3 linked regions of the Kluyveromyces lactis genome follow. The protein of the gene in region 1 interacts with the protein of each later gene in a biochemical or structural test. Links are inferred from orthologs where the notes say so. Each region holds a gene or a part of one and is shown on either strand. Other genes may lie near its edges. The genes, in order: PHO85, PCL1 and PHO81.

What was found.
Region 2: the proteins of PHO85 (region 1) and PCL1 form a complex in vitro, tested with the Saccharomyces cerevisiae proteins (4 studies listed by BioGRID, with this or other methods). The link is inferred for Kluyveromyces lactis from reciprocal best matches to the Saccharomyces cerevisiae genes PHO85 and PCL1.
Region 3: of the proteins of PHO85 (region 1) and PHO81, one has a biochemical effect on the other in vitro, tested with the Saccharomyces cerevisiae proteins (6 studies listed by BioGRID, with this or other methods). The link is inferred for Kluyveromyces lactis from reciprocal best matches to the Saccharomyces cerevisiae genes PHO85 and PHO81.

What each region holds. Positions count from the first base shown.
Region 1 is NC_006040.1:1,022,231-1,025,348, forward strand, and holds PHO85 (cyclin-dependent serine/threonine-protein kinase PHO85), read right to left. Parts: upstream 1,715-3,118; coding exon 1,698-1,714; intron 1,563-1,697; coding exon 665-1,562; downstream 1-664. Other genes in the region: KLLA0_D11968g (uncharacterized protein), read left to right, coding at 1-552; TRM44 (tRNA (uracil) methyltransferase), read left to right, coding at 2,360-3,118.
Region 2 is NC_006041.1:1,168,759-1,171,526, forward strand, and holds PCL1 (Pcl1p), read left to right. Parts: upstream 1-1,380; coding exon 1,381-2,229; downstream 2,230-2,768. Other genes in the region: RFC3 (replication factor C subunit 3), read left to right, coding at 1-720. UniProt on the Saccharomyces cerevisiae protein: G1/S-specific cyclin partner of the cyclin-dependent kinase (CDK) PHO85. Essential for the control of the cell cycle at the G1/S (start) transition.
Region 3 is NC_006041.1:1,401,573-1,405,799, forward strand, and holds the start of PHO81 (Pho81p), read left to right. Parts: upstream 1-1,367; coding exon 1,368-4,227. Other genes in the region: KLLA0_E15665g (uncharacterized protein), read left to right, coding at 1-212. UniProt on the Saccharomyces cerevisiae protein: Inhibits the kinase activity of the cyclin-CDKs PHO80-PHO85 and PCL7-PHO85 under low-phosphate conditions.

The sequences.
Region 1 (3,118 bases):
AAACAGGATTATCCATCAATATTTTACTCGGAGGTAGAATTTTTTTTCCAAAACGATATTCAACTAAAGAAACCAGTTTACAACCAGTTGATACTTGAACTATCCGTCCACTACGAGGTGAAGCAGCCTTATTTCCTCATAGAAACCTTAATGCATTGGTTTTTCCATACTAACCAAGGTCAATATAACATCAACCATTTATTCCATGCCATTATCTTGGTAACTCACATCTCATCGGTGTTACCTTCTAAATCCTTGGATAATAATGGACCCTTAATCGAACTAATCAACAACATATATTTGACTCCTGCTGGTCAGCAGTTACATGAGTTGCTATTAGTAGACGATTATACTGACGAAGAGGCGTTTAGTAGAAGGAGAATACGTGTCCTGAACAAATTCATCAATAAATTCTACAAGTTGGAAGAAACAAGACCATTGTTATTGTCTCAGGACGTCTTATGGGAAACCTTGGTCGACGTTAAGGACAAACATGTTATGAAACTTATTATGGAATATGGAGGACAGCCTAGCATCAACGTAATTCAATAAATCCGTAATATAAAAAGTAAAAGGAATGGTTACAGATTACTATACACTTATTTATTTATTTATTTGTTTGTTTGTATCTTTAGATGAGCAAGGCTATCTAAATCTAAAATCGTTAGTTGGCATGGTTATATTCTGCAAACCATGGGTGGTTCAAGGCATCCTTTGCAGAAAGTCTTGCATCTGGGTTCAGTTGCAATAGACCATGCAATAGATCCACTACATTATCGTCCAACACTTCCTCCGTATTGTTTTGTAATAGCTGTTTCAAATCACGAGGCATATGTGGAGGCAAAAGTGGATTGTATTTAGCCAATTGAGTCACTTGCGGCCATGTCTGCTCCACTGGAGTACCCATCGTATCGAATATGAGTTTCAACTGTTCCTCATCGTTGGAACCAGGGAATAACGGTTTCCCCATAATCATTTCAGCCAAGATACATCCGCATGACCAAATATCGATTGAAGTGCAATAGTTTCTTGACCCCATCAACACATCAGGAGCCCTATACCAAAGAGTCACCACTTCACTGCTGAAAGTGTTAACTGGGATACCAAATGCACGAGCCAACCCAAAATCACCAAGTTTCAATTGACCTCTGTTATTGATCAACAAGTTCTGAGGTTTCAAATCACGATGCAAGATCCTGTTCTCATGGCAAAACGCTACACCTTGTAACAACTGCCATTGGAAATATTTCACCAAATCCATCTCTAAGCCCTTATGAGAATTTCCCTTGTTTCTATTGTCCATGAACTTCTTAAGGTCATTATCCATGAATTCAAACACCAACGTCAACTTATTCTCAGTATGAATCACATCGAATAGCCTCACGATGTTATCATGTTTCAACTCTTTCATCAACGATATCTCCCTAATGGCCGTTGACGGAGTTCCTTCTTCGCTATCCAATTTCACTTCTTTCAAAGCAACGTATACACCAGTCGTCTTATTCAATCCTTTGTACACGGTAGCATACGTACCGTTACCAACCTTTTCAAGTTGCTTGAATCTGGTTTCATAGCGTAGTAGAGGGGACAAACGATTGCTGCGTTAGTATAAAAGTCAGAGTTATAGTGGTAAGGAGAAGTACTCATCTGCTTTGTACTCCTCGCTGCCAGTATCAAATATTCACAAAACTGCATACTGAGATGGTGCCACCATAGTTTATGTTTATTGATGATCCTTGGAATGGTCCTGAGAGCTATATAACCATTATCGGATCCTCTTTTTACATCTGTTCAAGAGATAATGATTCAAATAGGAATTGAAATCTTCAAATATTTAAGAATGGTGTTATCTAGAATAAAATAGTGGATACAGAAGGAAGTAACTTAGAAGAGGACAGAAATATTTGAGGTTTGGCAGTTGTGGCGTCCATCTCAGATAGTTTACTACCTAATTATATATGCGTACCATTTCAAAACTCTTCTTTCCCCTGTACTTGCTAATTATAATGCCAGTGACAAAAGTCTACTTGAAGATCTTCTAATATTAGACAGGAGTAAATACACAATTACGCTTTAATACCTGGAAATCTTATCCATTCATTTACAGTAGTAAATAATAATATTCATGTTGAACAACTTCCAAGTGGTTATATGGCTAAAGGCAGGAAGATATCTTGTATGTTGCTTCGAATTCCTGGTGCCTTTAGAGCATGAGTAACGTTCGAAGTGAAAAATTTAAAGAGGGCATCGATTCATCAACTAATAAGCAGTTTCAACGCAGACTCGAAGAACTCGATGGAATACCAGGATATAGAGAACCATATAGACTGTGCACAGGTAGAGTTGACGTAAGTTTGATATGACCTCGAATACGCTTCATTATACCGTGGAGAAATCCAGTATTTTGGGACCAGAATGGCAATCTTTATATTCGACAGCGGAACCTGTCGACTTCGATAAATCACATTTCGAACAAGCTATGCTAAATGTGATAAGGCAGCCTAATGTAAACTCGACTGTTATTCTACGTGCAGATATGCTTATAGACAATGAATACGACTTAGAGTCTGGTTCATGTGTGAAATCAGAGAAGAAAGACATCGCGTTGGGAAGCGATGAGGGTATATTGAAAGTAAACATCGATGATCTAGCACCGAGATCTGTACCGATAGCGTTGGCTGATGTTACCACAAAGTTCCAATTTGTTAGGAGGATTGTTCCGAGGAATCCATTCAAGGATGCTATCATTAATCAGACGTGTTTGGTTATGAATTCCAACTCAGATGCTTCAACCTCTTTAGTAATTTACATCCCACATTTTGATAATGCTGAGTTATGTCCGTTTTATATCCCACAAGTGGCTGCAGTAGGGATTCTATTGCATGATCACCAGCTATCGGTGCATTATATCCCTTTCGCAGGGCAAAAAGAGCTTCTTTTCGATCCAAAACAACGGGTGGTAAGAACTGCTTTCAGGTTATTACAAACAGCATACAAGCATTCGAAAGGTGTCAAAGATGGGTATGCGAAACGGGTAATGCATGACGTTGTCGTGGATAAAGTGTTGTTCCAGGACCAGTATATCCATTTGAAGAAGAAATACTCAAAGTTCTTGGTG
Region 2 (2,768 bases), on another chromosome or scaffold:
CAAATCAAAGAGTTTGCCAGTACAAGACAGATCTTCAGCAAAGGGTTCAAACTTATTATCCTTGACGAAGCAGATGCAATGACCAACGCTGCACAAAACGCACTAAGAAGAATCATAGAACGGTACACCAAGAACACAAGATTCTGTATCTTGGCTAATTATGCACATAAGCTAACACCAGCACTCCTGTCAAGATGTACCAGGTTCAGGTTCCAACCTTTGTCCGAACAAGCCATCGAACGTCGTATTGCGAATGTGTTAGTGAAGGAACACTTGAAATTAGACCCTCAGGCACACGCAGCGTTATTAAGGCTCTCTTCCGGTGACATGAGACGAGCATTGAACGTACTACAGGCAGCAAGAGCTACGCTAGACAATCCTGACACAGAAGAAGTCACCGAGGATTTGATCTACGAATGCATCGGTGCACCTCACCCACGTGACCTTGAAACCATGCTGGAATCAATTCTCAAGGACGACTGGACTACCACTACATACACCGTGAACAAAATCAGAATCACAAAGGGCTTAGCACTTATTGACATGATTGAGGGGATCGCGGGCCTACTGGAACAATATGAACTGAAACCTCAAACCAGAATTGAACTTCTATCTAGACTAAGTGATATCGAATATTCGATCTCAAGAGGTGGTACCGATTCGATCCAGACCAGTGCAACCATCGGAACGATAAAACAGTGCATGGAATTAGAGGTGTGACAATGTATGCACACAATAAGTAAACTAGTCAGACGTATACCGGATCTATATACCATGTGACATGCTGCGACTGCGAAATCACGAAATAGTGTAACTTTTTCTTTCCCGTTTTTTCGTTGATTTAACGGTGTCGAGAGAGAAGCAAAACGCGAAGTTTCGTCTCGAACGAAAAGAAGTTTTAACGGATACGGTACTTAATGCATGTATAGAGTTTAGATATGGGTAGATTTTCAATGGGGACCACGAAAAAAAAGTGTCAGTTTTATAGTTTTGGAAATTACATTACTTGATTGTGTTTTAATTAGCATTTTTCTTTCCTTGGTCGTCTTGATAACTGATGCAGCTTGAAGTACGGTTAGATCAGAAGGACAACGGGTGAATTGGATTCTGAAGATCACGAAATAAAATTACTATTCCAAGATCGCATAGTTTTGGGTATCAGGTACCACCGCATTGATGTATTTACTGTAAGTAGACAATGGCAGCGTGCCTTTTTTGGCGCATTGATAAATGTGTAACCTGGAGACTCGCGAAGGTTCAAACATATATAAAAGAGAGATTAGGATCGGAAGGATGAAGCATCTTCCAGTACTGCCTGTCATGTTAGGCACAATTTTGGGAGCATATCGTAAGAGCCCAACAAGCCTATAAAGTCTAAGCATGTTCAAGAAGAAGAGTTTGGAAATTCTGTTCGATTCACCAGTGAGCGATGATATGATCAAATTTTTAACTGATCACGCTTTGAGAGTGATTCCTACACAGAACAGAAACCAAAGATACCCACCTTCACCACCGGGCACTCCATCCAGTAAGAACCACAATGGAGTACCCAGTCTAATGACGTTCATTTCGAGATTAGTACGGTACACGAACGTTTACACATCCACGTTGTTGACCACCGTGGTATACCTAAACAGATTGAGGGAGTTGTTGCCCTCCGATGCAGCTGGTCTGCCTACTACATGCCATAGAATTTTCCTAGCCTGTTTGATTCTCAGTGCCAAATACCACAACGATTCCTCCCCATTGAACAAGCATTGGACCAAGTACACAGATGGGATGTTCACCTTGCGCGATGTGAACCTAATGGAAAGACAACTGTTACAATTGTTTGAATGGGACTTGAGAGTCGAATCTGAAGAGCTATGGGACAACTTGTATGATTTAGCCAACCCAATCAGAAGAGATTTGGAGAGAGGTGCCCAGATCAACAAGACGAGACAAAGAGCCAAGGCTCAAGCTCAACAGAAAGCATCTCAATTCTACTACCATCAACGCAACCTTTCTGCATGTTCCAGCACTGCTACACTGCTAGGGAACAGCAGGAGTGGATCCATTAACAGTTTGGATATACTGAAGGAATACGAATCGTCATCGTCGTCGTCATCATCGACACTGTCATCTCCGACATACACCGAGGAAATGAACTACAAGAAGTATACGATGGATCCTCGGTACTATAACACTGTACGGCCGGTACAGCACACCGACCCTACAATATACACATAACAGTAGCTTTTAAATATAATAGTGCTAGATAACAAGGGGTGTGTGTGCCCTTGGTCACCTAGCATGGCTCATCGCATTAGGCGATGCCCTATAATCAATATGGAAACGGATTTCTTTACATCTACTGTCCCGGGTAACTTTTCCCAAGCAAAAATTTTTCACTTCCTAAATTTGTATAAATAGAGGCAGGTCCTCTGCACTAAGTACATATATTACTTGTTAATGAGCATTTTACAGATATATATGAAGCTGAAAAGAGCAGGCAACAACTACCAACATCGGGCGATGTTGGAGTTAGTGTTGAAGGCACATCAGTAACAAGGTCGCGATAAGTATATTGCGTCTTGAGGTTCCAAAGACGAGAGAAACGCTGTGCACCAGTCTGAACGTGCTAAAATGTACTCTAGCACTCTGAAGCATTAAGTATACCCAAATTTCTGAGGAACGTTTACTGAGAGGCCTGCAAGTTTGTATTTAAGAAAACTGTATTTAAGAAACCGTACTAGGAGCAACGGCCTCGCTAGAGGCCGTTTCTTTGA
Region 3 (4,227 bases), on another chromosome or scaffold:
GTGAACCTTTTCAATCGGTATTACAAGAAAATCAAACAACTCGGAATTTCACAGTTGACATGGATGATGTGGAGTACGGGGAAAACTATAAGTTGATGTTGTTGAAAATTCTTGAGTTGGAAGAAGTTGACTTGACTAATGACGACGAAATTAGTGATATTCTCTCAAAATTCAATAGCATACAAGAATATCTACAAGAGGTTAAGCAATGAAACGCTTAGAGATGATTAGGTACACGGATTGCCGATCATTTTGCGTTATTGAAGGGTATTCGGTGTTACGGTTCGTGCTTCTATAGAAACTAAAACATACCTTTCATTTGGCATGTTAGTCTGAGGAAACAACTTTGAAAGGAACGGTGGAAAGTAGTTTACAAGATGCGAGCTTCAAGATACAGTGAAATCATATCTCATCATTATGCCGAAATGCTCCCGAAATCTATGACATTGTGGAGTTACGAGTGGCATACAACTTAATTCAGTTTAATGCACGTGGGAAACATAATAGGCAAACTTTTGCTGCATGGACAAAAAAAAGGAACTTTCCGTCTTCGCTCTCAAATTAATACCAATCAGGCATCCCGTGAAGGCATCAATGGCAAGCACAAAAAAAGAGCCCAAATAAAAGTTTGTTGGACAACGAATTAGCAACGTTTTTCACTGATATCTTAGTCCTTTCATCGTGCGCTCTCTTTCTCCTTCCCTTTTTTATTAAATTGACATAGCAGTATTTTTCGAGCTTATTTCTCTTCTTTTTTTGGGCTTTTTTGTTCATTTCAACAGAGCGTGTCAAGAAGACTTTAAGTAACAAAGTCACAACGGCTAGAAACTGTAGCACAAAGAAGGTCACGTCAAACAAAAACAAAAAAAATAATGAAGGAAAATAAAGCAACTACGAACAGAAAACGATGCACCTTAGGATTGTTCTGTATGCCTGAGTGCGTGTGGTAATGATTTTGGCAGAGGATTTCAAGTAAGTTATGAGACGGGTGCTTATAGGGGGATTGGGGGATTACAGGAATTGTCATAATAATTGAAGCACAAGTAGAATACAGAATTGAGAAAAAAATTCACGGGAAATGATTCATTTCTTTGTTCTGTTGTTTGTTACCTGAGAGTATTATTTTGAAGAACACAGTTGCAGAGACGTAAAAGAAGAAAAACAAAAATTCACATTGTGTTTTGAAATTAATATAAGTATAAGGTAGTTTTATTCAGGTTTGTTCTTAGCAAGAAGGAAAAGTAGAAGTAGGTGTTGGGAACGTTTCAGTCCGTGACTTGGAACCTCTTTCAGTGCTTTTCCATTAAAAGCTTGACTTTAATATTGTACATCACGACTGTGCAGGAAATCCGGTCGAAACAGTTGGGATGAAATTTGGTAAACACCTTGAAGGGAGACAGTTAGAACTTCCGGAGTATAATGGACATTTCATCAATTACAAGGCTCTAAAGAAGTTGATTAAGCAACTATCTGTTCCAGCAGTTTCATCTTATACAAATTCAAATGATTATATGACATTGGATGAAACGGATGAGTCGATACGGTACCAAAGTTTACAAGAGAATAAAGCATCTTTCTTCTTCAAATTGGAAAGAGAATTGGAAAAAGTCAACGAGTTCTATCTCGAGAAGGAAGCTGATCTACGTATGAAGTTCGATCTTCTAAATTCCAGATACTATGAATACAAATCGAAAGGAAAGTTGACTTCGAAGAAATCTATTGCGTATAGGACTATAAGAGATGGTATTAAGAAGTTTGAAAGAGATTTGGCACAATTAGAACAATTTGTAGAGTTAAACAGAACAGGTTTCTCTAAGGTACTAAAGAAATGGGATAAAAGATCGCACTCGCATGCGAAAGATTTTTATCTCGCAACAGTTGTCTCTGTACAGCCAGTTTTTACCAGAAATGAAGTATCCAAATGGAATGATGCAGTGTCCTCATTATTAATCGAACTTGACGAACTAAGTGATAATGATGATGTCACTGGACCCAATTTCTATGGACCTGCAGGACAGATTTCCCGGACGATATCACGTAACTCAGAAAGTGGTCCCTCAATGTCAAATATCATTGCTCCGAAGCCTGAAACACGTACATCAGTCAGTTCAGATAAATCAACTTTTCTCATTAACTTCTCACAAGGAGCATCAAGTAATGCACATCATTATTCAACTTCCAGTTCAACAGCTGGTTTGTTTGATATAGAGTTGGAAATTGAATCATGGTATATGGAAGTGTTGAGCATCAGCAAATTGAAAGATGTTGAACCAAGAAAAACACATATCAGAACTTTCGTCGAAACTAAAGTACAATCCTTTGTAGACTCACATCTATCTGCTACTCGCATTGATAAAAATCTGGTTATAAGAGACAGCATCACAAAGATTTTCAACTTACTATTGGCTAGCAGCATTGACGATGAATCCTTAGAAGTGTTCTGGAAATATGGGAATGAATACATTGATCTTACATATAGTGATCCAGATGATGATCTAGTTTTTGCTAGGCATAATATGTTTCACGAAGCGGCTCTGTGTCCTCATCAACCGCGTACGTTTGTTCTTTTGGCAGCACTTTATCAATATCAAAACTCCATTATACAGCAAGAGGCATTTCGTAAGTTACTAAACGCTCAGGACATTCATGGTAGGATGCCACTGCATTATGCCTGTGAACTCGGCAAAACAAATTTCGTGTCTCTATTGATAAACACGGAACTCATAGATAATATTGATCTTTTGGATAATACATCTAAAACTCCTTTGGTTCTTTCTATTATTAATAATCACATTGAAGTCACAAAAATACTTATCGCACAAGGTAACGTCAATTTATCCCCATCTTTGTGTGAAGGCACTAAGCCGCAATTCCATCCACTTAATGTGGCTTGTTCAAACAAAAATTATGAAGCAGCTAAAGTTATTCTAGAAAAGGGTGACATAAATTTATCTAGATTAAGAGATTCCCAAGGTTTATGTCCTTTGCATATTGTGGCAAAAATGGGCGGTGGATCAGAATTGATAAAACTTTTGGTTTCTTATGGTGCGGATCCAGATGAGATTGATGGGTTCAACAAATGGCCACCAATTTTCTACGCAATTCAAGAAGGACACGCCACCACCGTCCAAGTATTATTAGAACTAGGTGCAGACGTGTTCATGAAAGATCAACAAAACCTCTCGCAAGTTTTCTATGCATTATGGGAAGGACATCTTTCTGTATTGAATGTACTTTTAAGCTATGCTGGAAACCGCAAACGTTATAGCGCCTTCCCAGATAGACCACTCGCTGGAAGTTTGAGACCATCAGATCCCGGGGAACTTTTTTCTGACGATCAACTGTCCCTGAATGATTCATTAAAGGATATTCCAGATTTCACCTTACCACCACCAATTATCCCTCTAAGAAAGTATGGTCACAATTTTTTGGAAAGAAAGATTTTTGTAAAACTCTCTTTCAAGCCAGGAAAGGAATCAATCACGCTCAACAAGGACGACGAAATGATGTTATCCTCACCTGGACGCATCACTCTTACTTCTAGTGTATCGAATATCATTCCAAGAAATATTATTTTGCCTATTCAAGAAGAGGACGAAAAAGACATTGTATTCCAGATAGATTCCCTAGATACTTTCGATATCGATATTGAAATATACCCTTCTTTCGGAACAAGACTCATAGCAAAAACATATGCTCTTTCTGATGTTTTCCACAAAGCTTATGAAAGTACTTGTAACAACCATCATTTAACTTTGCCCTTATTCGACACCAGATTGAGAAATGTTGGTAAATTCGATGTTGACTTTGAAGTAATCTTCCCATACGGAGGAAAATCTTTGGAAGTCACTAAATATGAAACTTATTGGAAGTCCACAAGTGGTGGTGGAGCTAACAATAATAATACGTCGTTGTCCACATCTTTGCAATCCATTGTAACTGCATCATCTTTAAATGGAAAGTATTGTACCATTGGTGTTATACAGTTAAACGATGGTACTTTGATTGCAAGTACTAGTTTAATCTGTCATGCTGGGGATGTGCCGTTACTATTTAACGATATGAACGCAAAACAGCTAAACAGCATGCTTGATCAGCAGATATCTGATATTCCAGCCAATATAACCTCCAGGCTAACATTGAAAACTCTTTTGAGAGACAGATATGTCTTATTTGAGGATCTATTAAATAATGTCGACCCACAAATTCAGCTCAACATAAAGGTTT